Rattus norvegicus: one gene and its partners. The protein of the gene in region 1 interacts with the protein of each later gene in a biochemical or structural test. Links are inferred from orthologs where the notes say so. Each region holds a gene or a part of one and is shown in the gene's direction. Other genes may lie near its edges. The genes, in order: Sntb1, Mapk12, Tanc1, Rps6ka1, Dgkz, Frmpd4 and Slc16a7.

Region 1 (3,500 bases):
CTGGTCTTGGCAGATTTTCTTAGCCGTGGAGAGAGATTACACAACCCTTTTCTTGTATCCTTCACTCTAAAGCCAGAACCATGTTGCCAAAGCTGCCAAGTTCGGCTGCTTGGTGGAACTGGAACTTGGCCCACTCTTTCAATTACATTCACATCAGCTCGCTATCTTTGATGGTTTCCTTCACTGCTTAAGCTTTTCCTTAATTCCTTCTTACAAGTTGAATCTTAGCTGGGTGAGGCCTTGCCCTGAAATTATAGCTCCCTTTATTCCATTTAGTATTAGGCTATACCTTAAACTTTTACTTCTTTGAGCATTGAACTTAGTTCCATTACACTTCCTCGTGCTTCTTTTCACTTTACATTTTGTATTTCTTTTTGTCCAGCTTGCTCCTTTTCATTATAGGTCTGCATAATCCTGACCACTAAGAATCAAGCAACACAGTTAATACTAGACTGTCTTGAAATCTCCTCTGCCAGTGTTATTAGCCCAAAACTTTCCTTTCTTAGCCACAGGCAGAATTTGGGGCAATAGCAGAGAGTATCCACATTGCCAGAAATATTGTAAGAATGGTCTCTAGGTCACTTAATATTCTTTCCCTCTGAAACCTGTTATCAGAGCCATCATAATTTACATTGGTCTCAGAACCCCTGTCTTTCATGCTCCTACTAGTATGACCTGTTAAACCCCACTCAAAATGTGCAGCTGCTTCTGTAATCCAAAGTCCCAAAGTCTACATTCTGCCAAGGAGCAGCACCCTTATGCCTGGCAGTAGTACCCCAGCCCTTCTCTGGCTTTTGAGACCTCAAAGCTTCACAGCCCTTCCCACCACCTAGTAACATACTTCCTTCTCATCCTTCTAATCCTCCCAAAGAACTCCAGAACCTGGTAACTTAACAATCAATTATAAGAGCCTATGGGGACCATTCAAATTCAAACCACCTCAGAGCCTGTCTAAAATATCCCACTATTAAGATAAACAGATCCTTTCAACTACACCTTGAGTGGTCCAATTTCAACTCTGGCATAAGCTTTGATGTTCAGTATTAACTGTGAGATGTGTATATGTGATTTAGTCATACTTAAGTGTACCACAGATGAGGTTCCTAAAGAATAAAGGTTTGACAACTAGAGAACAGTGGTACACACATACAATCCTAGCACCTGAAAGGCAAGAACAGAAGGCAGAATTAATAGTTAAAGATCTTCCTCAGTTACATGGAATTTGGGGGTCAGTATGAGCTACATGAGACCCTGTCTCAAAAAAAAAAAAAAGAATGAAAATCAAAGAATATAAGATTTGACCATTTACTATTTTAAAATATCTTGACTAATAGTGGGAAATGGGGTTAAGAACATGGCCAGTTACTGAGGTCTGCTTCCTACCACAGTAGCAATGGTGTTGGGGAAATACTAAAATCCTCTGTGCAACTGAATTAATATGATCTCAGAATCTGCTGCATCACAGGAAAATGAGATATCCTTATTTTGGGGGAGTTGGCGTTTGTGATGATGCTGTTATGCTGTGTTCCAAAGGCACAAACCAGAGCCTGGGCAGCTGATGATTTGAATTAATGATCCCATGAATGATGGAATAGTGGAACCATAAATGTAAATGTCCAGAGTAAACATGGTATTCACCTTAGAAAGGTTGGCTGTGGTGAAGCAAGGACTACCAGGTCATCCTGCAACTCCTCTGTTTGCCTCCCTAGGCAGCTTGAAATTCACTCGCCAGATGCTAAGCACACAGTGGTCCTGAGGAGTAAGGACTCTGCCACTGCCCAAGCCTGGTTCAGTGCTATCCATTCCAACGTTGGTGACTTGCTGGTCCGTGTGGTTGCTGACATCAGGGAGCAGCTGGGGAAGACAGGTATTGCTGGCAGTCGTGAGATCAGGCATCTTGGCTGGCTTGCAGAAAAGGTAAGAGAAAGTCTCCTCTGTCAATTGCCCACAAGTTCCTCCACTGAAATTCAATCATTTTATAGGCTGCTTCTCTCCTTACGGGTAATTGGATTTCTTGTCTATCGCAGAAGATCTCATAGCATTGCAGTATGTGGGGAATTTGTGTTAATCAACATTCATTTCCTAGCATACTTCAAATATGTGGCAAAGTACATATGGTCCCTAACTGCTCCATGGACGAATTAGAAGGCAAATGAATAGTTTGATTTCTGTAGTATTCTCTAGTACAGCATCTAGGAGAAAGGGAGTTGAAATGGTTTGTCAGAATGAGTTTTAATGACACCTTTCCTCAAACAAGGCCACACCTCCTAATAGTGCCATTCCCTGTGGTCCTATGGGCTTATTCAAACCACCATGCCGGTTATGTGCCCAAGCAAGTAACTGCTCAATGGACAAATGAGAAGGCTAATGAATAGTTTGATTTCTGTGATGTGCTCTGGTACAGCATCTAGGAGATGGATGCTATGGATTTTAATGAACTTGCTTTTATTTTATTTAAATAAATCTGTTAGGAATTATATGTTTATAAATGACAGTGATGATATTAATAATGAGGATTTATTGGGCAACTACTTTGTGCTGATTCATTGTCACCTTATCTATTCCTTGTACTTTTTTTTGAAATTGTATTTTTATTGGTTATTTTATTTACTTACATTTCAAATGTTATCCCCCTTCCCAGTTTTCCCTCCTCAAACCCCCATTCCTTCCCCCTCCCCCTGCTTCCATGAGGGTACTCTTCCAAAAATGTCATTCTTAATGAGCATCTATTTTGTATGGGATACAGGGTGAGGCAAGAGTGTAAACAAACTAGATCAGTAAGCAGTTAAAACTTAGTTATTAGAGTATATTTCTCATTCATAATCATGGGTTTCATAATGGCATATATATTCATATATATTATTTCACTCCTTGATTCCTTCCCCCTTCGGCCAGTCTTCTTCCTTTTCCTAGATTGTCCCTATTCCTATTTTTACATGTGTGTATAAGAAGTCATGCATATGTTTGACAAAAGGGACAAGATGAAAATCTAACACAGGGTTGCAACTGCAGAAGCTTAAATTTATGCTGTAAATATAATTCATAAAGTCTTAGCTTAGACATTTTAACAAATCAGGCAACTAAATAAAGATCTCTGAACCAAAGATGGGCTAATGTGGAATATATCACTCTTTGGCTTTTATAAAAATGATGGATTAAAAAAATAGTTCTTTTACATAATGATGGTAGTGGTGGAGGCAGTGATGGGGGTGGTGGTGGTGGTGGTGGTAATGGGGGGGGAGTGGTGGTGGTAGTGGTGGTGAAGACACAACTGTGTCTCATGGAAGACTGCTGCCATGGAAAAGTTTATATATAACATTAAGTTATATGTATTAAAGTTTGTATATAACATTAAGACTGTTATTCAGATTTTCTTTCCCAAAGCATGTTCTATGTTGGGGATAGTAAGGCTCAAAGGAGCCTTGGCCATTGTTCTTATGTCTGCTTGCTATCCCTTGACCCTGCAGTGCTTCTAGTGCTTCTGAACACCGGGTTTTGAG
Region 2 (3,500 bases), about 33 Mb from region 1:
GTGGTCTATCCTCGGTGTCTAAGTTCCACCTCCCTGATACTTCTTTAGATCCTAGATTTTGGCCTTGCCAGGCAGGCGGACAGTGAGATGACAGGATATGTGGTAACCCGGTGGTATCGGGCACCAGAGGTCATCTTGAATTGGATGCGTTACACACAGACAGGTAAGAGGCTATTCAGAGACTCCAGTGCATGCCACCCACATTTACACATTCGTTTTATTTTTAAATTATTTTTGTAGTATTGGCGATGGAATCCAGTCTTATTCATGCTAGTCAAGTGCCCTGTCATTGAGCTACATCTCAGCCAGCCTGCCTGCCTTCCTTCCTTCCTTCCTTCCTTCCTTCCTTCCTTCCTTCCTTCCTTCCTTCTCTCTCTCCCCTCCTTTCTCCATTTTTATTATTTGTTGAGAAAAATGTGTGTGTACGTATATATATTCAGTTTGGTTGTTTTGAAGACAGGGTCTTACTATGTAGCTCTGGTTATTTTTGGAACTCACTATGTAGACTAGGCTGGCCTTGAACTCACAGAGATCCACTTGGCTCTGCTTCTTCTTGCTTGCTTGCTTGCTTGCTTGCTTGCTTGCTTTCTAGACCTTTTGTAGTCCTGGCTGGCTTGGAACTCACTAGGTAGACCAGGCTGGTCTTGAATCCACAGAGATCGACCTGCTTTTGTCTGTTACAACCTGGGGATTAAAGGCTGTATTACCATGTCCAACCCATTCTTATTTTTTTTTTCTTTTTTTCGGAGCTAGGGACCGAACCCAGGGCCTTGCGCATTCTTAATTTTTATAAGAACCTATTTCATTATTTTATGTGTGTAAGTACTTATGTGCACGTGTCCATCACCTGTGTACTTGGTGCCCACAGACACCAGAAGAAGGCACTGGGTTCTCTAGCACTGGAGTCACAGATGGCCGTGAGCTATCACGTAGGTGCTGAAAACCAAACCAAGGTCTTCTGGAATAGCATCCCTCGCTCTTAACTGATTAGCCACTTCTAGCTCCCTTCATTTCTTGATAGGGAGTCATTTGTAGGCCCTACCTCTGGGAGGTTAGTGAACTGGGGTGGAACTCTGTCACCCTCCTCAATGACAGTCTCTGCTCTGTGCCTATGTACACACCTGCCTCCCTGTCACGTATACTTGTCTCCTATGTGTGGTTTCTTGTGTGTCCCCTTTTCTTGGCCTTCATGAATGTGAATGTGACCCTTGTGTGTGGGGCACCGATGGACGTTTCTCAGTGGACATTTGGTCTGTTGGCTGCATCATGGCAGAGATGATTACTGGAAAGATCCTGTTCAAAGGCAATGACCGTATCCTTCGATGTAGAACATCATTTGACTTTGGCCATGATGTGGGTTCTGGGTGGGCCACCCTCTGCCCCTGCATTGTATTCCTGACCTTGATACAGACCTGGACCAGCTGAAGGAGATCATGAAAGTCACAGGGACACCCCCTCCTGAGTTTGTACAGAAGCTACAGAGTGCTGAGGTCAGTGGGGAGTGGGCAATGGGCTGGACTTGGACTTAGAGGCTGGCCTATCACCCTTTTTCCCTCACAGGCCAAGAACTACATGGAAGGCCTCCCTGAGTTGGAAAAGAAGGATTTTGCTTCTGTCCTGACCAATGCAAGCCCTCAGGGTAGGGCTGGATGGGTGAAGGTTTCAGGCAACTGGGTGAGTATGCCCTCTTTTGTGGCTGGGCCTGATTTGCTCTCCCCACAGCCGTGAATCTCCTGGAAAAGATGCTGGTGTTGGATGCGGAACAGCGGGTGACAGCAGCTGAGGCATTAGCCCACCCATACTTTGAGTCCCTTCGGGACACTGAGGATGAGCCCAAGGCCCAGAAATATGATGACTCCTTTGATGACGTAGACCGCACCCTTGAGGAATGGAAGCGTGAGTATGGGTGACACATAATGTCAGGCTTTGGACCCTGTGCGTCCTGTGTGGATGAGCCTCCGACCCTGGGTTGCAGGTTAGATAAGAAGTTGGGAGGTCAAAGGGCATTGTGGGGCAGTGCAACTCAACCAGGTTGACTTCTGGCTAGGGCAGAACGCAGTGGTGAAGAGTGTCCTTTTCAGGAGCTCTGACGAAGGCTGGCATGTGATGGGTCCCATGCCATCAGACGTGGTGCATCTGTGTGTGCTTCGCGCCCTTGGCTTGCTAATTCCCTGGCCTTTCTCTCCCCAACCCCTACACTGCCCAGTGTCCTCATGTCTAGACCACACTGAGGCCTTCTCTACCACCACCTGTCCTTAGGACTTTCTTCTCACACCTTTAAAATTTATCCTTTCCTCTCCTTAGTCCTTTTCAGAACCTCTCCTGAAACAACTATATCTTTCTTTTTTTTTTTTTTTTTTTGTTTCTTTTTTTCGGAGCTGGGGACCAAACCCAGGGCCTTGCGCTTCCTAAGCAAGCGCTCTGCCACTGAGCCAAATCCCCAACCCCAACTATATCTTTCTTATGTTCTGCCCATGGAAGACAGTATATTCCCACGCAGGCCCAAGGGCCCAACTTTTCCTTCTCACCTCCAGCCCCAGATCCCTCCACATCTATGTGCCGAACCTCCAGGTTCTGGGAAGAGCATCTTCTCTTTGAGAACTGGCCCCAGAGAAGCCTTCTCAGTTTGCCTACTGTTCCGTGGGCTGGAACTAGCCTCTGGTGTCTGCTCCAGACTGGCAGGTCCAACCTGCCAGTAGGGAGTAGGGAGGTCTGGGGACATGCTATCCCCATCCCTTGTCCTGTCTGCCTCAGACCCCAGGCCCTGTTCTTGCACCCTGGAGTGGGAAAGACTGGGTGGGTTGAGGTTCTCTCGTATCATGTTCTAAAAGCCCTGGCAGGTGTTCGTCCCTTAAGTGTTGTGTACTGATGAGCTTGGTTCTGTGTGACGAAACCCTTCTGCTGCTAAACAAAATGACTCCCTTAACCACGTACCACAAGATCCGTTCTGTGGTCTCCATCTACTCGCTGTGGCTGGATGCTGTTGCTTTCACCATAGACCACACAGACACACAACTGAGACCTCGAATAGCTCATAGCTCACACTTTCTTTTCTCGCTTCCTTTTTTTTTAAATACAGACCTACCTCTCTCTCTCTCTCTCTCTCTCTCTCTCTCTCTCTCTCTCTCTCAACACAAACCTTTTACTTTATTTTATTTATTTTTTTTCGGAGCTGGGGACCAAACCCAGGGCCTTGTGCTTGCTAGGCAAGCGCTCTACCACTGAGCTAAATCCCCAACCCCTTATTTTATTTTTTGAACATCAGCCTTCATCACTTGTTTGCCTGGGGAAATCTAGCTTCACAGCAGTCTTTAGTGTTTTTAGGTGGATTGGTCCATTTAGGATTAGATTAAAAAGCCCATGGGGGTGCTGGCTTCTCCCCTTGGTTGGAAGCTGTCTAACTGTATCATTTGCTTCTCTTCCTTTCCTGCAGGTGTTACGTATAAGGAAGTGCTCAGCTTCAAGCCTCCCAGGCAGCTAGGAGCCAGAGTTCCAAAGGA
Region 3 (3,500 bases), on another chromosome or scaffold:
CTCATCTTCTGAAGGATCTTTTAGAAGTAGTAAGATGTCAAAACAAAACAGGAAACAGCTTGGGCCTTCAGAGGCAGGGAACTGGGAAGATGAGTCCGTGGGAAGATTAATGCTTGTTGTAAGTAGTTGGTGAGCTTTGATACCCAGACTTCTCCGCTTCTCCAGAGGTTGGGACCCTGCCCTCTGCTTCCCTTTTCCTGGTAGAAAGTCTTCTCCTGGCTGTAAGCTAAAAGGGTGGGCAGGGGGCTGCCCGGAATTACTTCCTTGTTTTCTCCATCACAGTTGTCCAGATTTCGAGGAGGCACATAACAGTGCTCCGTGTAGGTAAAACACACACTGAAGAGCGTCTACACTCCAGGCCGCAGTGAAACCAGTGCATTGTTGGGAATCTTCCAATATGTTCCCCTCCCCCCACAACCCCTAATTAGATGAGTTGAGATCTATATCTAATACCATTTCTAGGAGTTTTCATTTAGTTCCCCCCCCCCCCCCCCCGCCTTCCCCTTCTCAGGTAGGATTGTCAGTGACATCATTGATCCTCCAGGTTTCCATCCCTTACCTTCCTCCTTTTTGAGTTACCCATCTACAAAGCATCTTCTGCTAGAAGATACTGGAAAGAGGGTCTGAAATGGCTGTGTCATGCTCTCTCTGTACCCTGAGCAGGAAGCTGTTGCTAGTAAAACAGAAAACCAGCTTTAGGCTGCTGTGCAAAGGACCTGCCCTGGGCATCCGTGAAGCAGCACTTTCACTGCCCAGAGATTCTGGCCACACAGCCCTTGGTGGTGCCATGGGGAACTCCTGGTCCTCGGATTTCGGAGTCAGGCAGCTGAGGGGTTCCAGCAGTGGGCCAGGTGTCTGCTCCAGGTTTAGGCGGTCTGCATGTCAGTGACTTTGGCTGCAGGTTACCGGGTTTGTGAAGAACTAACTGCATTCTACATGAGCCTGGGATGCAGAACTAACTGTGTAAGACTGAGCTCTGTGCTGATGTCTGTAATGCAGCATGTTTCTGAGAACTGTTTTGTAAGACTTGGTTTTCTTTTGGCTCGGCGCTCTGTTTTCCATTATAAATTTAATAGGAAATATGGTTCGTTGAAAAACGTGTCTCCTGCCATATGTAAACCTTTTTGAGGTTTTGCTAACACTTTTAAGCTGCATGTTAAGATGCACTGGGTGGCGCCATGTGACAGAAACGTATCATTTCTTAATTTGCTTAAAAATCATTTCATCTTTCAGAGCAGAAAATTCCAGAAGAGGAATACATCATCTTGATAGATGGCTTGAATGAAGCCGAATTTCATAAGCCTGATTACGGGGACACGCTGTCTTCATTCATTACCAAAATCATTCCTAAGTTCCCCCCCTGGCTGAAGTTGATCGTGACCGTGAGAGCAGATTTTCAGGTGACAAATACCCCCCATCCCCCGCTCTCTTTCCAAGTTCCCACACCCCACATATACAGAGGCAAGTGCTCCTGGGCTAGTGTTAGAGCCCGTTTGGCTACTGAATTGAAAACCATTATTGGGACTTTGAAAAAAGTGGTTCAGAGAGTCCCATAGGAACAAGAATCGTCACAGTGTCAGCTGAGCAGCCTACTGTCAGTGAAATGGCAGCTGGCTTCTGTAGTGAGGTGTGAACGGGCTGAGATTTCCGACTGAGGTTTCCGGTCAAGCAAAGTACTGGAGCTTCTGGGTTTGGGAGCCATTTGTTATGGGCATGACTTGTTTCATTTCGTGGAGCTGGGTAATCGTGTTCATGATTTTTCCTTACTAAAACCCGCAACTAAACCTACATTTAAATGGCAGCCCACGCTTCTCTCTATGACCTTTGGGGTCATACATTTTCAGTCAGGTCTCCCACACTAAGCACAATCTAGCAGCTGGGTTAAAACTTGGAACTGGTTCCTGTATCCCTGTGCTGGCTTGTTGCTAAGATCAGTTTCCGCGCAGCACGGGAGCGGCCGTCCACTACCCTCTTCCTGCCATTACTACCTTAAAAAAACGGCGTGGGCTTCAGAAGAGTTCGTGAGAAGTTAAATCGTTTCTTGGGGCTAGGACCTTGTCTTGGGAATAAAGGAGCAGGAACGTCAGTGACCCTGTGCACTTCAGATTCAGCCAAGGAGAGATGGGTCGGCGATTAAGAACGTGGGCTGCTCTTTTGTACAACTTGGGTTTGCTTCCTGGCACCCATACGGTGGCTCACAACCACCAGAGCTCTACCTCCCTGGTCCGACACCCTCGTCATGGGTACCAGGCATGCACTTGGTGCACAGACATGCAGACAAAACAAAATACTTTTTTCGAAAAGAATACTTAAAATTCTTTTAAACTGAGAACGTGCTATAGCAGAGCAGGAAGTGATTCCTGCTGCTCGTGGTCTGGGGACACAGGCCGAGCGGGAAGTCTCCTGTTCCCTGGCAGGGTTACACAGCCCTGGTATCTGATGCGGAGAGGGCACGTCTTACCTCAGGGTCTGGCTGCCTTCTTAGACGCGCCGTGTTGGTTCGTGTTTACCCTGGTTCTAGAACCAGCCGCTCAGGGATTATGGGTATCGGGTCACCTGCAGGGTCTCTCTGCCCCTTCTGTTGGTGTGGCCTGGCTGCTGCTGCTGCTGCTGCTGCCTCCTGGGGCCCCTCCCTCTGCTCCCTTGGCCCAGAGTCCTTAGTGGGGGCTTTGGGAGAGATCCTATCTCCCCTCAGGATTTCTTTCACTTAAGCTTTTTATCAGTACCTCATCCTATTACATGTTTGAATACAAAACAGCGAGTCCCTGTAATCCACGGAAATCCTCCTTGAAAGGGGCCGGGCGAGCCTGGTTTAAAGTGGGAGGGAATCTCTTTGGGGGCTAACACCGGGATTGCGTTTTTTTTTTTCTCTCTCAGGAAATCATCAGCACGCTGCCTTTTGTCAAGCTTTCCTTAGACGACTTCCCAGGCAACCAGGACATCCACAGCGACCTGCACGCATACGTCCAGCACAGGGTCCACAGCAGTCAGGACATCCTCAGCAACATCTCCCTGAACGGCAAGGCCGACGCCGCCCTCATCGGCAAAGTCAGCAGCCACCTGGTGCTGCGGAGCCTTGGCTCCTACCTGTACCTCAAGCTCACGCTGGACCTCTTCCAGCGGGGCCACCTGGTCATAAAGAGCGCCAGCTACAAGGTGGTGCCTGTGTCTCTGTCTGAGCTCTATTTGCTGCAGTGCAACATGAAGTTCATGACCCAGTCTGCCTTCGACCGAGCCCTTCCCATTTTGAACGTGGCCCTCGCGTCCCTCCACCCCATGACGGATGAGCAGATATTCCAGGCGATCAACGCCGGCCACATCCAAGGCGAGCAGGGCTGGGAGGACTTTCAGCAGAGGATGGAGGCCCTCTCTTGCTTCCTCATTAAGAGGAGAGACAAAACCCGGATGTTCTGCCACCCGTCCTTCAGAGAGTGGCTGGTGTGGAGAGCGGATGGCGAAAGCACAGCCTTCCTGTGTGAGCCCAGGTAACGCAGATGCTT
Region 4 (3,500 bases), on another chromosome or scaffold:
CTGAGGACTCCAGCATTCTCTGACCATCATAGATGAGACCAGCGCCCACTGTCCAGCAAGACGGGAGCCCAAACGGGTGGTGGGCCCTGAAATAAATGTTGGCAGAACCCAGCCTTGAGGCTTGCTTGTCTGGAGAGCTGGTGGGTGAGGTCGCAGCCTGATGACGAGGTCTCTGGCAGGTGTATGACGACAGTAAGCACGTATACCTGGTGACAGAGCTGATGAGGGGCGGGGAGCTGCTGGATAAGATCCTACGGCAGAAATTCTTCTCAGAGCGGGAGGCCAGCTTCGTCCTGTACACCATCAGCAAGACTGTGGAATACTTGCACTCCCAAGGGGTAAGTCTCCGTGAGAGGAGTTGGGGGTGTCCAAGGTCGTGACCTGGGTAGAATGCAAGAACTGGCTGGCTCATGAGGGACCGTCTCCAAATTGCCAGTCAGAGGGGACTCCGGTTGGGTAGGTGGCTGGCTGTAAGAGGAATGGGGAGATGAGGGCTGGCTCAAGACCATTTGTCCAGAACCTACTGTGTGCCACACCTAGTGTGTGCCGCACACCAGGACAAGTGTAAGAGAAAGTTTCCTTGGTTCTTTCAGTGGGATTTTCACCAAATCCTGAATTAGATGTTTGATTGGTTGAATGACCTGTCAGGTTACTGGCACTTGACAGATCAAAAGTCTGAAGGTTGGGGTTGGGGATTTGGCTCAGTGGTAGAGCGCTTACCTAGGAAGCGCAAGGTCCTGGGTTCGGTCCCCAGCCCTTGGGGGGGGGGGGGGAGTCTGAGGGTTGGAGCTGTACAGTCTTTTTCCCAGGATCAGACAACCGGGGAAAATGGTGACCAGAAGTTGCAAGGAGGGGTAGATTTTTGTTTGGAAGATGCAGGGTATTCGAGAGGATGACCCAGGTACTAAGAGAGAGAGAGAGAGAATGGGTGGGGCCAAAGAGCAGGGTATGGCTTTCTTTGTTGATGTTGCTTTGGTGGGTAAGCTGAGTGGGCGGTTCAAGTTCCTCATAGTGGTTCTCTCTTGGCTTGGGTGATGTTTTGGGGAGCGTCTGATCAGACAGTGAAGGGTTAACAGTGATGGCAGTCTGGTGTCCTGAGCCTTTGATCTCAGCACTCAGGAGTCAGAGGTCAGCCTGATCCAACTAGTGACACCTTATTTCCAAAGAGGAAAAAAGTATAGGAAGTTAGACATGGCTTCCCACCTGTAATCACTTGAGAGGCCAAGGGAGGAGGAGCATCACATGTTAGAGTTAGGCCTTGGGTATGTGCCACCACCACGTCACACATCTACAAGTATGTAGTATGTATGTATGTATGTATGTATGTATGTATGTATGTAGTATATGGATGTATGATGGATGTGTGTATGTAGTGTGTGCGTATAGCATGTATGTAGTGTGTATGTGTGTGTAGTGTATGTAGTATGTATGTGTGTAGTGTGTGTGTGTGTGTGTGTGTGTGTGTGTGTGAGCTTGCATTTGATTAGGCGAGTATGCGGGCTGGTATGCATACGTGTGCTTGAGTGTAGAGATCTGAGGTTGACGTTGGATGTTGTCCTTAGTCACGCTACATTGTGTATATACTGAGGCAGGGTCTCGAGTTGTTCCAGGACTGTGCTGACTAGCCAAGCAATTTATCTTCAGATCCATCCCTGTCTCCGCTTCCTGAGTGTTAGGATTACAGGGATCCTGCTGTGTCTGCCCAGTGTTTACATGGCGCCCTCTTTTGCTTTCTATTGCCGTGACAAGGAGAAAAAGGTTTATTTGGATTATACTTCCCACGCCACAGTCCAGTTGAGGGAAATCGAGGCAGGAACTGAAGCAGAGACCACGGAGAAGCATTGCTGACTGATTTGCTCACTGTGGCTTGTTTAGCTTGTGTGTGCGTGCGCACACGTGCGTGCATGAGTGTGTGGGGGGGGTGTTTTCCCTGCAAACATGTCTGTGTACCACATTTAGTTCCCTAGTGCCTGCATTGGCTAGAAGAGGGCATCGGGTCTTATAGAAATAGAATTACAGACTGTCGTGAGTATAACCCAGAACTATGTGCCCAGTAGGCTACACGGAGAAATCCTGTCTCCAAAAAACAAAACAAAAAAATGCTATGTGCGTGTGAGCGAAGGTGCACACTGCCGGCCAGAAGAGGGCAGGTGTGAGCCACCAGTCATGGGGCTCGGCATCAACATTAGTCTTCTGGAAGGGCAGCTAGTGTTCTTAACCATCTCCTCAGGCCTGCCTCAAAACAAACAAATATAAGAAGGGTACCATGCAGCCTGCCTCTGACTAGCCACATTGAACAGGAATTGATGCTTGACCTGGAAATACCTGTAGATGAAGAATTTTTGTTTTTGAGGTAGGGCCTTCTATATCCTAGACCTTTAATTCTTGTACTCAAAAGGCAGAGACAGACAAATCTTTATGAGATCAAGGACAGGCTGATCTACATAGAGAGACTTTGTCTTCAAATGCATGTGACCTCATCCACCTGGGCCCTGTTTCTTTCGTTCTTTTCTTTTTTTTTTTTTTAAGATTTATTTATTATATTTATATAAGTACACTGTAGCTGTCTTCAGACACACCAGAAGAGGGCATCAGATCTCATTACAGATGGTTGTGAGCCACCATGTGGTTCCTGGGACTTGAACTCAGGACCTCTGGAAGAGCAGCCAGTGCTCTTAACCACTGAGTCATCTCTCCAAACCCAAGATAAACAGGAAAAAAAGGTAAAATAGGAATGGAACATACTTAAGGTGAGAGCAAGGTTTGGCCTCTGCATTTGACCTTCCCCTTTCTCACCTGTAAAGCTATAGGTTCCAGTATTTTCACCCATGAGATTATGAAGCAAGATTCCTCTCAGAGGCCTTGAGACTAGAGAGGCCTCGTTAGGTGAGAGCAGCGACAGCTTTGGCAGCCTTTGCAGCTTTTGTTTTTATTAGTTTTGAGATAAAGTCTTAGAATGTAACCTAGGCTAGCCTAAAATTTGCTATGTAGCCCAGGCTAGTTATGAAGTCACCCTGCAGCCTTGCCAGGCCGACCTGAAACTCACAGAGATCCACCTGCCTCAGCCTTCCCAGTGTTGGGATTACAGACATTATAGCTCTGTACCCAGCTAGAAAACTTAGCTATTACAGGCCACTGAACTTCCAGGAATTCTAGTCTTCTTGGATTTAACTGTGTCTATAGTGGAAGAATTCGAAAGGGGGTTTATCATGACCATGTCTAACCATCGGCATCCAGTTATGTGTTTTAGTGACGGGGTGGGAGTAGGGAATCATGATGTCCTCTGCTCATACCTAGGGCCAAAGCCTCTAGTCCCTGAGCTGGTTCTGTAGAACAGTCAGGCTCTTGTTCATACTTACGATTGGGTTCTTTCGCAGGACCGTTTGGTGACATGGTCTGTATTGGGCATTCTGCTCCAAAGCATTAAAGTAGGACTGGGGCTTGGGGAGGCGGCCAGAATCACTTTTCTACTCAGTGGGACATTGTACTTGATCCTGCAT
Region 5 (4,062 bases), on another chromosome or scaffold:
CCAGCGGGGCACAGAGGGCTAGTAGCACTGTCAGCAGATGCTGTAGTGTTTGTCTTTGTGAACCGAATTGACACTGTTTCTATCCTCAAGAAATTCAGTCTGGCCGGAGTAACAAACACACACAACTAAAGAACTAATTATAAATGGTTAGAAAGTTTCCAGTTTCTCCCTAAGCTGCCTGAAGACTAAGGAGCAAGCTTGACCCTCACTAGTGTTTCTGAGCCCCTCACGGAAGCCTCAGACTCCATGACAGTTTGGCCTCAGATTTTTTTAGACCCTTCCAGCATCCTCCTGCCTCCCAGTTCTTTAGCCACACTGCCTCATCCGTGCTTGGAACTCATGCTTTACTGTTCTCTGCATCCACAATGCTATCCTCCAGATGGTCACATGGTCTGTTCACTCTCATGATTCATTTGAGTCCATCCTCAAATGTCACCTCCTTGCCAAATCCCCATGACTGCCACCTCCCCCCACCCCATTCATTTCGGCTTCCCCTTTCTCTCTTTTTAAAATAGCACATCTCATTGCCTAACAGGCATGGATTGTCTTTTCTGACTGTCTTCCGCTTCTAGGCTCTAGGTTCTGTGGAGGTACAACTTGCTTCCTCCACCCCTGCTCTAATCTAGTGCCCTAAGCATAAGTTGTACCAACCGGTATTTCCTAAATTGTCTATAACCCCTTTCACCTCTTATTTAATCCACTTACAACCCAATGAGTCCAAACTACAATTTGTTCTATAGATGAGAAAAACTGAGGCTCCCCAAAGCGCTCTGACAGAAGTAGTCACTGATTTATTGTTTATAACCACATCCCTAAAAATGTAAGGTATCTTTAGAAGATTTGTGGCCTGGTCCAGATCACACTGCTGGCAGATGGGAGAAACTGAACATGAGCTGGCGTCTTCTACCCTCTGCAATTTTCAGTACACCACCACCCTGTGTGGCTAGCTCTGTTGAAAGGTATGGTGCATACAAGATGCTAAGAGAGAGCTAGACACCGACAGGACAGGCTCTAGCCAGTCTGTGTACCTGGGACCAGTGTACCACAAGGTATGTCAGGAAGTGAGAGACCATTAGAGGACCAAGAGGTGAAATTCAGAGACTTTATTTGGAAAGTAAAGGCCTGGAGCTGGGGTGCAAATTCCAGCCCAGGCAGGTCTAGTGGGTGCCTGGCAGCTTTTGACTCCTGGAGTTGTCTCTTGATTGCTAGGCTGGGCTTGTCCCCACCTGCCCCTGCACTCTCTTGTAGCTGTGTGCCTTGCCAGTGTTCGGGCCCCAGTCCCAGTCAGCGGAAGGCGCCGAGAAGCCCTGTGGTCCTCGGCTTGAGCCTCCAGCCGGCCTCTAGCAGCAGTCCCCCCCTCAACCCCCCCCCCCCACGTCAGGAAGTGCGGAAAGAGGAAGAGAGTTGCTGGGCAGGATGAGCGCACTGGGGGCTGGCCACAGCGCCGGGGGAGGCTGCGATGTGGCTGCTGCTGTGGGCCCCGCGAAGGTGCTGGGGACGAAAGAAGCCGAGCTGCCAGGGGCACTGAGGCAGATGTGGCGCTCCCGCTCCTGGGACGTGCCACAGATCCCAGCTGAGGTTCCCCAGACACAGTAGGTACAAGGGTGGCCTGGGATGGGCACAGAAACCTCATCCTTCTATGAACTTTCTATATAGTGTGGAAGAATGGCAGAAATGGGTTCACCCATCCATTTCCCAGTTATTCCATGGAGGCACAATCTAGAGAAGTTTGGAGGTAGCGCTGATGCTTCCAGGTTTGGGGTAATTTGATAGAAGGCTTCGCTCTGAGATTGAATTTGAGAGAGAACGGCAGGGGTTGTCAGGAGAAGAGCCCTCCCAGGACTGTAGTACACAATGTGGGAGTTTTCTCAAATCCACTTCAAGGACTGTGTAAACTCAATGGCATCTTCGAACTACCCCCTTCCCCTGCCCCCAGCTTTTCCCACTGAACTTGGTGATAACCACCCGATGACTTCCTCAAAGAAAACATGTGTACCCCCAGGAAGCCAGGGTCAGGCCCTCTTCCTATCCAGCTTGGTCCCCATTGCTGACTGGACATCTGAAGCCAGCTTCTCCAGGCCTTCTAGAAACTCAGTGTGTAAGAGAAAGTGCTGGGCTTCGGGGTGTTGACTGTTGCTTAGAACCACAGGCTTGTCCCTGGGTCACAGCCCTTTAGCTTTGACTATTTGTGGCAGGCAAGGCCTGGAAAACGGGCTGCCACAGCCCCAAAGGAAAGGGTGAGATTGAAGGCAACACAGGATGTGGTTTTCTAGAACCGAGGGCTAACTGAAACAGTAGGCATCAGGGTGGCATGATCTGGGGAGGAGGTGACCAGGGTCACTGACTTCCAGGTCTTCCTGGCACAGTCCTGCAGCATCTAGAGACCACCTGAGTTGTGGATTCCCAAATGTATGTGGATGGTATGTCACCTGGGTGACTTCTTGTTCCAAACTGGTCTCCCTTCTGGAGGAGAACGTTTGTCAAACATGAAGAATATTTCTGGATGTGTATGTGAAATATGAGGTCTTTGTAACCACTGCCCTCAGGGATATCTATGTGTAGGAGATATTGTCTTCTATATGGGTGTATATGTGAATGAGTGTGTAGGTTGTAACTGTTGTCCTTGTGTGTATTTGAATGTGTAGGAAGTACCATAGCTCATCCTTACAGCATAAGGATTCAAGGGAACATTGAACATTGTGCTGGGAAAATTTCCCTATGTTAGGAGTGGGTGAAGGGTTGAAGCCATTGTGAATAGCTGTAGAAGGATGACTGTGTCAGTGGAACATTGAAGTTCTTTGTGATTGTGTGAAGGTAATTGAATGGCTTTGGTGTCCTGAATGTGAGAGAAAAGTGTGAGTTTGATGACTGAGGATAATTCCATGTGAGGGGCGTGCCTGCTGTGTAGGGAGAACGCTGTGTGACTTTTGTCTGTGGGTGCACTTATGGATAGCCAAGGGGGTAAGGGTAGAGAGCGCATGAGTGGCTGAGTGGGCGCAAGAGAGCAATATATAACTTGTGGATGCGGGAGAAGTGGTGACAGCCGCCCTCGCGTGTTTGTACTTTGATCGTGTAGGTTGTTTGGTGGAGGAGGACATGGGGGGGGGGGGGAATCATACATCTGGAAACAGCTTGAGCGGCTCGGGCCAGGAAGTCAGTCCCTTACAGGCAGGCTGGCCACGGAGCTGGAGGTGGTGCCCTCGTAAGTCCCGCCCCCAGGCAGCCTCGACGGGCTTGCGACAAGGTTTGAGACCGGCAGAGGGCGCCGTGGGGCGAGTGCGGCTGTGCGGCCGAGGGGGCGTGCTCGGCGGCGGGCGGGCAGGCAGAGGCCCGGCCAGCTATGCGGGGTCCTGCGGCCGCGGCTGTCGGCACTTCCTGGAGCGGAGGCTGCTTCCCCGGCACCTGGGAGTGGGTCGCGGGGACGCGCAGCACAGGGCGGGCGGAGCGCGCGCTCGCCATGAGCTTGGCGGGCGGTGCGGAGCCGGCGTGCTGAGCTCCGGCCGCCGGCCCGGCATGGGCGTCTCCCGCGAGCCCGCTGCCGGCCGGGGCTAGGGCCGGATGGAGCCGCGGGACCCCAGCCCCGAGGCCCGGAGCAGCGACTCGGAGTCGGCCTCCGCCTCGTCCAGCGGCTCCGAGCGCGACGCGGATCCGGAGCCGGACAAGGCTCCGCGGCGCTTAACCAAGAGGCGCTTCCCGGGGCTGCGGCTCTTTGGGCACAGGTGAGCCGGGCGGCGGCGGGACAGGCTGTCCCAGCGTGGGTATCCAAGCGCCAGGCACAGGCGGTCCGGGTGGTGCGCGCGCTGGCACCGGCTGGTAGTGCGCTTCGTCCTTAGTGCCTTGACAGGGTCAGCTCCTAACCCTCCTGCAGGGAGACAGAGTCAGCCCAACTCCTTGGCACCAGCAGTCAGGGACCCTACGACTGGTCACCACTGCTCTTTTGACAAGTCTCCCTGAGCCTCTAGTTACCAGCGTGGTGGGGGCGGTCATACAACCCTTCGTGCTTCTCTGGAACCTATTTGCCAACTACCACTGCTTGGCGTCTGCTGATTGTGGTCACTGTGA
Region 6 (4,003 bases), on another chromosome or scaffold:
AATCTTACTCCTTTTTATCCCCTATCCCTCTCCTTTTATCCCTCTCCCTCTCTTATTAGAACCATTTTTCTTAACGGATCCCCCTTCTATTTTCATGTCTTCTTTCACTGAGTTTACTTAGACTTTCATGCACAAGTGTGGGCAGAAAGTTATTTATTAGAACAAGGGCAAATAATCAAGGGCTACACCACTGAAGAGAATTATACTTCCCAAATGTCATATAATACTCGAGCTTGATTTATTACTAAGACTTCAGTTAATGAGAAAGTTCATTTAAATCATTCAAATCATTTTTTTCAAAGTAAATGTCAAAACCTAAATACTTAGTTCCTTTTGAAATGGAGAATGTTATTTGGTATCAGCATAGTGCATCAGCACTAAAACCATCCATGTTTTAACTTATTATTAAATAAGTTAAAAGTTATTTTAACTTTGCTAAGCTCGAGTACCATATATACTTCCTAAGGAATGTCCATTACCTTATGAGACCATGGGTCAGCATTTCAGGTAAGACTTGATAGTGTTATACAAAGAAGTAACTTTTTCTCCCTGGTTATCAATTCAATTAACTTTTGAAAACATGCTGTCAGTCACACTCAGTTCTAAGTACAGAAAATATATCATTGAACATAATTAAGTTTGTAACACTAGGTCTGTAGCTGAATGGCAGAACAGGTACATAGCATACATGAGGTCCCGGGTTCTACTCCCAGCTCTATGCACATAACAACTAGGTACTTTATCCTTTAAAGGCTGTATGTACATTTTTGTCGAAAGCAAAACAGTAAAAATAAAAAAATCATCATAAAAATAAATGGCTTCTGTAGTACATTTGTAGGTAAGTAGTACCTTGGTAGAGAAAGAAAATAAAAAAGGGTAAATAGGTTTAAAAAACATTAAAATACTATTCCAAGGTAGTCTTTTATAAGATGGCTATATGTTAAGAGAAGTTTGACAGAGGCAACAGTGCAGCCTGCAAATATCTGTAGGACAAGCATTCCACATTGTATGAACAGTCAGTGCAAAGCCCTAATGTGGGTATTACAGAGTTCTCAAGGAGCAATATATAGATCATAAAAGAGGACCATGAGTCTCTATATCTTTCCTACTCTCTCTCTCTCGGTGACAATGGGTTTCATTTCAAGGCCGATGCCTAACTGCCACATTGATACCTCTTTTCTCTTGTCTGTATTTTTCTCCACAGTCACATGACACAGGCAATCCCATTTGATGACCCTCGGTTTGACAGCTGCCAAATCATTCCCCCAGCTCCACGGAAGGTGGAGATGAGGAGGGACCCTGTGCTGGGCTTTGGGTTCGTGGCAGGGAGTGAAAAGCCAGTGGTCGTTCGATCGGTAACACCAGGTAAGGATCCAAAGACACTCTTTGTTGTTTCATAAGACTACTTGTCACACCCAGTGAGAGTGACTTCAATTCAGTTCTGTGAGGTCAAGCTGTGAAGTGAAGTAACACTTTATCAATAGATTGACAAAAAAGACAGAAACGTGCCAGTGAAGTGAGCTTTATTTTACATATTTAAGAACATGTATGTTTGTATGTATATATTGGGGTATTTTGGAGACAGAGCTTTGCTCTGTTACACTGTATGCCTGGTGCTATACCTGTAACCCCACCTAGCATAAAGCTCATGGCAATCTTACTGCCTACATGCCCATGCCTGATTTCCAAGAAGACTTTAAACTGCCAAATCCATCATATCCCTTGGGTCAGGAAAAACACTGATAGTATTACTGTTCCCATTGTATCACCTCTGAATGGAGAAATGCAAACAATGATAAGCAGGCACTCTAATGGATGTAAGTACCTCATAGAAACCAGTGTGGTATTTAGTCCCAGGACAGTTGAATTACAAGTATACACATCCTTTCCATCTCACTAAAGGCAGGCAATTTCTATGCCTCATTGTTGTTGGCATGGATCAAGTAAATGACTTTAGCCAATGACACATTGGTAAATACAATCCAAGCAGAAGGTTGGAATGCATGTGTACTGTTGAACTCTCTTGTGGCTGAAAGAAGGTATGTTTTCCCAGGGATTCTGTTATTCCTACAGCCTCAACCCCACAATAAACTCCTGGGGAAACATTCAGTTAGCCTGAAGCCTGAACCTCGGTTTAACCCAATCTGTAATTTGAATCAGATCTGTCCAGATAAGCCAGGCCTGAATCATGCTAACAACCCACAAATGGGAAAAGAAACAATTGCTGGAATCATCTATTACACAACAGATGTGAACTGGTACACACCACCTCTCCCTCTCCCTCTCCCTCTCCCTCTCCCTCTCCCTCTCCCTCTCCCTCTCCCTCTCCCTCTCCCTCTCCCTCTCCCTCTCCCTCTCCCTCTCCCTCTCCCTCTCCCTCTCCCTCTCCCTCTCCCTCTCCCTCTCCCTCTCCCTCTCCCTCTCCCTTTCCCTTCCCTCTCTCTCCCTCTCCCTTTTCCTTCTCCCTCTCCCCCTCCCCCCTCTCTCTGTCTTCCTCCCTCCCTCCCTTATCATTACAGGCTTTATATTTTTGCCTCTTCTCCCAGTCCCCCTCCCAGAGTTCTTCATCCCATCCCCCTTCCCGTTTTCTTCTAAGAGAGTACCTCCTCAGCATTCCCTTTCTACGGGGCATTAAGTCTCTACAGTATTGGGCACATCCTTTCCACTGAGGCAAGATGGAGCAGTCCTCTGCTACATAGGTGCCAGGGGGCCCCAACTAACCCGAATATGCTCTTTGGTTGGTGGCTTAGTTTTGGGAGCTCCCAGGGGTCCATGATAGTTGATATTGTTGGTCATCCTTTGGGGTTGCCATCCCCTTCAGCTCCTTTAATCCTTCCCCTAACTCTTTCATAAGGGTCCCCAATCTCAGTCCCATGCCTAGGTGTAAGTATCTGCCTTTACCTCAATCAGCTAGTGATAGAGCCTCTCAGAAGACAACCATGCTAGGCTCTTGTCTGCAAGCACAATAAAGCATCAGTAATTGTGTCAGGGTTTGGTACCCATCAACGGGATGGATCCCAAGGTGGGCTTCTCACTGATTAGCCATTCCTTCAGGCTCTGCTCCATTTCTATCCCTGCATTTCTTTTAGACAAGAACAATTTTGGGTCAAAAATTTTGAAGGTGGGTTGGTGTCCTCATTCCTCCGCTAGGGACCCTGTGTAGCTGCTGGATGTGGTCTCTTCGGGTTCCATCGCCCCACTGTTAGGCATTCAGCTAAGACCATGAAGTTTGCAGGCAAATCAATGGAACTAAAAATATCTGGAGTGAGGTAACACACACCAAAAAGGACAGGCATGATGTGTACTAATAAGTGGATATTAGCCAAAAAGTACAGATACCCATGATACAACTCACAGACTCCTAAGAAGTGAAACAAGAAGGAAGACCCAAGTGAGGGTGCTTCAATTCCACTTTGAAGTGGGAACAAAATAATCATGGAAGGCAGAGGGAGGGAGGGACCTGGGTGGGAGAGGGGAAAGAGAGAGGAAATGGGGGGGCAGTTTTATGTATGGAAGAAACAGGAGAAAATTCCAGAGGGCCAAGAGAATAAATGAAAATATACAGCTGCCAGGAGTGAGGGCTGGGGGGATACTCTATAAAGTCCTAGAGACTTGGGATGTGGGAGGCTGCCAGGTATCAGGTGAGGTGACATCACATCTCTTAAAGGCTATAATATGACAGTACACTGTATCTCAATTACCCATATGGGGATATACAACTGTCTCTATATCAACAAAATAGGCTTACTCTACTTTTCCAGAAACAATTGATTTTTGTTATTTATTTATTATGTTTGTTTATGTCTTTATTTTAATAAACAAAGGATACTAATCTCCTCTGTCATTACTCTGAAGATTTTGCAAATCAGTAAAAAACTCAATAGTAAGATCCTACTCATAATAAGATAGATTCTGGGGGGATAGGGAAATGGCTCAATGAGTAAAGTGTATGCCATAGAGACAAGAGGAGTTGAGCTCATATCCCTCGTAGCCATTTCAAAGT
Region 7 (4,294 bases), about 26 Mb from region 1:
TACATTGGGAAAAGGAATTGCCTTATTTGGTCAAAAAACATCAGAGAGAATGTCTAGAAAAGAATTGTCTTTGTTGCTTGGTCCTTATGATTATTACACACAGAATTGAAATCTTGGAGAAACATGTTTTGCAACAGGCTGGCACCTGGTACTCAGTTCTAGAGAACTGAATTCTTTCCCTCTTTGGAAACCATGAACCTCATCTTAGTTTCTTTGCCTGTTACTGTGATAAAATACTCTGACCAAGGAAACTTCAAGTTTTATTCTAGTTTGTAATCCAGGTTATTGTCCCTCATGGGAGGGGAGTTACTGAAGTAGGAACCTGAGGTCACATCCTGTCTGTCCCCAGTAAGAGGCAGAGAGGGAGCAATGCAGGCATCTTGGCCCTGCACTCGCTTTCCCCACAACAAGGATGACCCCAACCTATGTTAAGACTGAGCTTCCTACACCGGTGAATGTAATCAGGAAAATCCCTATAGGCTTGCCCTGGTGCCCATCTCTCAGGTAAGTTCAGGAATCACGTCCACAATTAGCACTTAAGTCGCCCCCCGCCTCCACCACCATGGAACTTAGAGACATTCTGCTGTTTAGTACAGAGAAATAGGGACCTTAGATCCTTTAGAAATTAGAGATGGAAGCCAGGGACCATACATAAGTAACTGAAACTCCACACATCAATATGCCCATACTCAAAATATTCACACGGTGCCTGTCTTATGTAGTTCGAAGAATGGGGTAATGGATGAGAATTTGTTTGGTGAAATACCTCCTAAGGGCTGCAGAGATGGCTGTCAGTGTCTGCTGTACGTGTCCACAGCACCGTGTAAAATTCCAAGAGTGACAACAAGCTACCGTTACCATAACACTGAGGAGGTGGAGCCCGAAAGGTGCAGAGGCTCCGTGGCTGCCCAGGTCTAGCGGAATCCATGAGCTTCCCGGTCAGCGAGAGGCCATTTCTCAATTTAAGACAAAGATGAAGAGCGATTCAGGATAGCAACCCCAAGTCCACTTCAGGCAACCAAACGAAGGTCTGTGCCCTTGACCTCTTCGTTACTATTCATAATTCTGTCTTCTCCAGTCTCAGATTCTGCTAAGGTTCATAGACACAGCAACGCTCATTGTACAGGGATTTTTACTGCGCCTTCCAGACGCGGTATCAAATTACACGCTGGGGAAAATACCCTTGAAAGCCTGCCCACTTCAGCTACAGAGAAGGAAAATCGGAAGGTTAAACGTAGCAATTCTGAGTGCCAGACACGTCACCTTTTTGACCCTGGCTATAATTTAAGCCCAGTTTACGTTACACCGTGAGAAGTCTGAACTAATTGTGCATGTCAAAGCAAGTTCTTCAAGAAGAGAGAGCAAACTACCTTTCCCCTATTTGAGAGGAAAGAAGGGAGGGAAAGTGGAGCCTCGGCCTCTGGAGAGCTGTGTGCAAGTTTGCTTCTGGCTAAAAGTTAATGATCAATCGCTGTGCTCTCAGCTCCGAGTCCCCAACAAGTGGCTAATGCGGCTTTTCTCTCGCTCTCCAGGTAACATTAAATCTCTAAAACTGTGCTCACCTTGGCTCTGGTAGACTATAGGCATGGCTTGCTTCATTCTTGTTATTCAATTTCATGTTTTAAGTTTATAAAGTACAGTTAAAACTCATAAATGTTGCCTTGTGGAATAGTACTTAATTTCTGGAGTGGACCGAGTTAAGGCTGGCTGATGAGACATTGTGTGCTTGCAGTTGCAAAGAGAATTTTAAAATGTTCTATGAAATTTGCTATTGTGGTTCTTAGCCCCCATGGCTGAAAGATGAATTAATCCTAATTATCTCAAAGAATACCTCACATCATGTAGCCTGCCAAATTTTGATTTGGAGGAATGGTTTTAAATCATGGGTACCACTTTATTTTGAAAAATAAGAGTAGTTTTTTACTCATTAAATTTTTATTTAATTTGTACTTTATGTTATCTAACAGTAAAGTGTCCTTATTTCTTAGATGAGTTGTTACATCTTATAAATATGTGTGCTTGGCTGGAAAGTCCTAAAATAAACTACATTATTTTTGGTATGCAAGCTAGGTAAGTTGGTATGGTGGAAGATAGGTGGTTATGGTGTAGTTGTTTTTCGTGTGGTACCATTGAGAAGTGGTAGTGTAACTAAAGACCTTGGTCATCCAAGTTTCCTGTGTAAAGCCACCTCCTGAAGATATCCGTATATACATTGTACATCTTTAGAACTGGTTATTCTGCATCAGTGTTTATCACTAAGGACTCATTGCTCAGTCACAGGAGCCCGTATGAGGCAGACTCAGAGAAAGTCTCTGTTCCTTTCAGAAGTGTCTGCCCACTGGTGTCTTTATTCAACAGAATTCCAAGGCCAAGGAACTTGTGCTGGTGGGATGTAGACTAAAACCACATGAGCTTCCAATTGCGTCAGCAGCCCGACACTTCCGCGATGCTCCGTATGTGTTTCCATTCACAGTTGCCTTCTCCACAGCTGAAATTAAACATCAGACAATGATTGATGATTTTGCAATTGAAATCTAGAGCTGGTGGGAACACAGAGGCACATCCATTTCATACACAAGGAACAGTGTCCAGGGAGGGGACTCGGCAGCATAATGGGCACGGCTGGGAGTAGAACAAGACCTCTGCTCTTGGGTGACGAGTAGGGCTGGTGGTGTGCTACTCTACGCTCTCGCTGGTTTATTCCCTAAACAATCTCTGCTTTGGAGCAGAGCTGGCAAACACCCACAGCTCAAGTGAGCTCAAGTGCAAGGGGCCAGTGATGGTTTCTGGTTCACCTCTGGCATTGAGTCTGTTTATCAGCTGGACTTGTAAAACCTGATCCTGTGCGTTGCTGTATTTGCTTAGGTTTATTTAAGGTCTCCTTACAGGAGGAATTTGTCAAAGTTAGGGATAAGAATGTCGCCACTTATTTGGGTGCACATCAAGTCAATGTTGAGACGTCTATAATTCATAAGCTCTGAGGTGACTGAAGTTTTAAAGAGTTTTTTTTAAAAGAAAGTTTTAAGGAAATTTAAGATTATTGAAGTCTTATTATTAAAAGTCAAAGTATATAGTAATGTAAAAATGCTCATATGAAGTTTGAAATGATCCACGTGTAGTGCGAAAACAGAGCAATCATTTGCCGTGACACTGTAAAACATTTTAGATTCTAACAGTTAAGACTGTGTGTGTGTGTGTGTGTGTGTGTGTGTGTGTGTGTGTGTGTGTGTTCATATCTCTACGTCTGTGTCTGGGTGTGTCTGCCCATCACAAATTTGTATGTAGTGTGGAATGTTTGCAGCATGCATGTATGTGTGCACATGTATACTCATGCTGATGTGTGCAGAGACAAGACCAGAGTTTGAGGGTGTTTTCTTTCTTGATTTCACCTGCCTTTATGTCCTTAGAAGAAACACAGTCTCTCACTGAACAGTAAGTTTGCCATTTTGTCTTGGCCAGCTGGCCAGTGATCCCTTGGGGTCCTCCTCCTGGCTTCACCTTTCCGATAACAAGGTTGCAAGCACACAGCTATACCAGGTTTCAAACATGAATGGCAGCGATTTGATCTCAGGTCTTTATGACTACAGATCAAGGACTCTTACCCACTGAACCGTCCCTGAAGCCTGAAGTTTGTTGTTGTTGTCATTGTTTTGTGTTGGATATGTGCAGATTTTTTATAGTTCTAGTATATTCTTCCCTTGGCACATAACAAGTAGTTTAAACACCATGTTTTACATTTGCTTTTCAGCTCACAAGCCCAAGTTTGCAAATCGAGCTACCACCAAAAAGCTTATCTCTGATTCTTTATTCCATTATTAGACACAGACTACCTGAATTATACACTGTAGAAGTTTGTCAGGTTCTGATAGATTTAGTAACTCAGAAATCATAAGACTTCAGATTCTCTTTTTTATTTCTTGGGGGAAAAAAAGCAAGCGGGTTCAAGACCAGGAAGGATATTTAATGTCCACTGGCTTTGAAGATCATGGGTGAGTCACATGACCAGTGACAGTCACCATTACATGTGAGTTCTAAGAGGGGCCTGTAGCCCTTGACCTACTTGGTACAGTGTGCCAAGCCTGCCAGTTCGAAGAGCAATGGGCCTGGTATGGGATGTATCCTCCTCAGCATTCCTAGCTTTGCCCTGACAAAGCCCCATCACGTGGGTGGCTTAGACCAACTGAAAATTAGTCTCATTCCATTTTAGAGCCTGGAAGTGTGAAATAAGGCGTAGGCTGGGCTGCGTTTTCTTGCCTCTTCCGGTCCTTGCCTGACCCAGGTTCTGCTTCATTTG

Evidence for each region.
Region 2: the proteins of Sntb1 (region 1) and Mapk12 interact in a test that uses a peptide from one of them, tested with the Homo sapiens proteins (2 studies listed by IntAct, with this or other methods). The link is inferred for Rattus norvegicus from reciprocal best matches to the Homo sapiens genes SNTB1 and MAPK12.
Region 3: the proteins of Sntb1 (region 1) and Tanc1 interact in a test that uses a peptide from one of them, tested with the Homo sapiens proteins (2 studies listed by IntAct, with this or other methods). The link is inferred for Rattus norvegicus from reciprocal best matches to the Homo sapiens genes SNTB1 and TANC1.
Region 4: the proteins of Sntb1 (region 1) and Rps6ka1 interact in a test that uses a peptide from one of them, tested with the Homo sapiens proteins (2 studies listed by BioGRID and IntAct, with this or other methods). The link is inferred for Rattus norvegicus from reciprocal best matches to the Homo sapiens genes SNTB1 and RPS6KA1.
Region 5: the proteins of Sntb1 (region 1) and Dgkz form a complex in vitro, tested with the Homo sapiens proteins (2 studies listed by BioGRID and IntAct, with this or other methods). The link is inferred for Rattus norvegicus from reciprocal best matches to the Homo sapiens genes SNTB1 and DGKZ.
Region 6: the proteins of Sntb1 (region 1) and Frmpd4 interact in a test that uses a peptide from one of them, tested with the Homo sapiens proteins (2 studies listed by IntAct, with this or other methods). The link is inferred for Rattus norvegicus from reciprocal best matches to the Homo sapiens genes SNTB1 and FRMPD4.
Region 7: the proteins of Sntb1 (region 1) and Slc16a7 interact in a test that uses a peptide from one of them, tested with the Homo sapiens proteins (2 studies listed by IntAct, with this or other methods). The link is inferred for Rattus norvegicus from reciprocal best matches to the Homo sapiens genes SNTB1 and SLC16A7.

What each region holds. Positions count from the first base shown.
Region 1 is NC_086025.1:89,058,518-89,062,017, reverse strand, and holds part of Sntb1 (beta-1-syntrophin), read left to right. Parts: intron 1-1,709; coding exon 1,710-1,917; intron 1,918-3,500. UniProt on the Homo sapiens protein: Adapter protein that binds to and probably organizes the subcellular localization of a variety of membrane proteins. May link various receptors to the actin cytoskeleton and the dystrophin glycoprotein complex.
Region 2 is NC_086025.1:122,086,308-122,089,807, reverse strand, and holds part of Mapk12 (mitogen-activated protein kinase 12), read left to right. Parts: intron 1-48; coding exon 49-163; intron 164-1,240; coding exon 1,241-1,312; intron 1,313-1,410; coding exon 1,411-1,490; intron 1,491-1,560; coding exon 1,561-1,639; intron 1,640-1,722; coding exon 1,723-1,896; intron 1,897-3,433; coding exon 3,434-3,500. UniProt on the Homo sapiens protein: Serine/threonine kinase which acts as an essential component of the MAP kinase signal transduction pathway.
Region 3 is NC_086021.1:64,693,037-64,696,536, forward strand, and holds part of Tanc1 (protein TANC1), read left to right. Parts: intron 1-1,233; coding exon 1,234-1,400; intron 1,401-2,877; coding exon 2,878-3,485; intron 3,486-3,500. UniProt on the Homo sapiens protein: May be a scaffold component in the postsynaptic density.
Region 4 is NC_086023.1:151,371,065-151,374,564, reverse strand, and holds part of Rps6ka1 (ribosomal protein S6 kinase alpha-1), read left to right. Parts: intron 1-179; coding exon 180-338; intron 339-3,500. UniProt on the Homo sapiens protein: Serine/threonine-protein kinase that acts downstream of ERK (MAPK1/ERK2 and MAPK3/ERK1) signaling and mediates mitogenic and stress-induced activation of the transcription factors CREB1, ETV1/ER81 and NR4A1/NUR77, regulates translation through RPS6 and EIF4B phosphorylation, and mediates cellular proliferation, survival, and differentiation by modulating mTOR signaling and repressing pro-apoptotic function of BAD and DAPK1.
Region 5 is NC_086021.1:98,389,011-98,393,072, reverse strand, and holds the start of Dgkz (diacylglycerol kinase zeta), read left to right. Parts: upstream 1-1,262; 5' UTR 1,263-1,416; coding exon 1,417-1,592; exon of another isoform or gene 1,593-1,596; intron 1,597-3,370; exon of another isoform or gene 3,371-3,558; coding exon of another isoform or gene 3,559-3,719; intron 3,720-3,730; exon of another isoform or gene 3,731-4,062. UniProt on the Homo sapiens protein: Diacylglycerol kinase that converts diacylglycerol/DAG into phosphatidic acid/phosphatidate/PA and regulates the respective levels of these two bioactive lipids.
Region 6 is NC_086039.1:30,252,958-30,256,960, forward strand, and holds the start of Frmpd4 (FERM and PDZ domain-containing protein 4), read left to right. Parts: upstream 1-1,203; 5' UTR 1,204-1,204; coding exon of another isoform or gene 1,205-1,208; coding exon 1,209-1,365; intron 1,366-4,003. UniProt on the Homo sapiens protein: Positive regulator of dendritic spine morphogenesis and density. Required for the maintenance of excitatory synaptic transmission. Binds phosphatidylinositol 4,5-bisphosphate.
Region 7 is NC_086025.1:63,037,599-63,041,892, reverse strand, and holds the start of Slc16a7 (monocarboxylate transporter 2), read left to right. Parts: upstream 1-1,494; 5' UTR 1,495-1,532; intron 1,533-4,294. UniProt on the Homo sapiens protein: Proton-coupled monocarboxylate symporter. Catalyzes the rapid transport across the plasma membrane of monocarboxylates such as L-lactate, pyruvate and ketone bodies, acetoacetate, beta-hydroxybutyrate and acetate.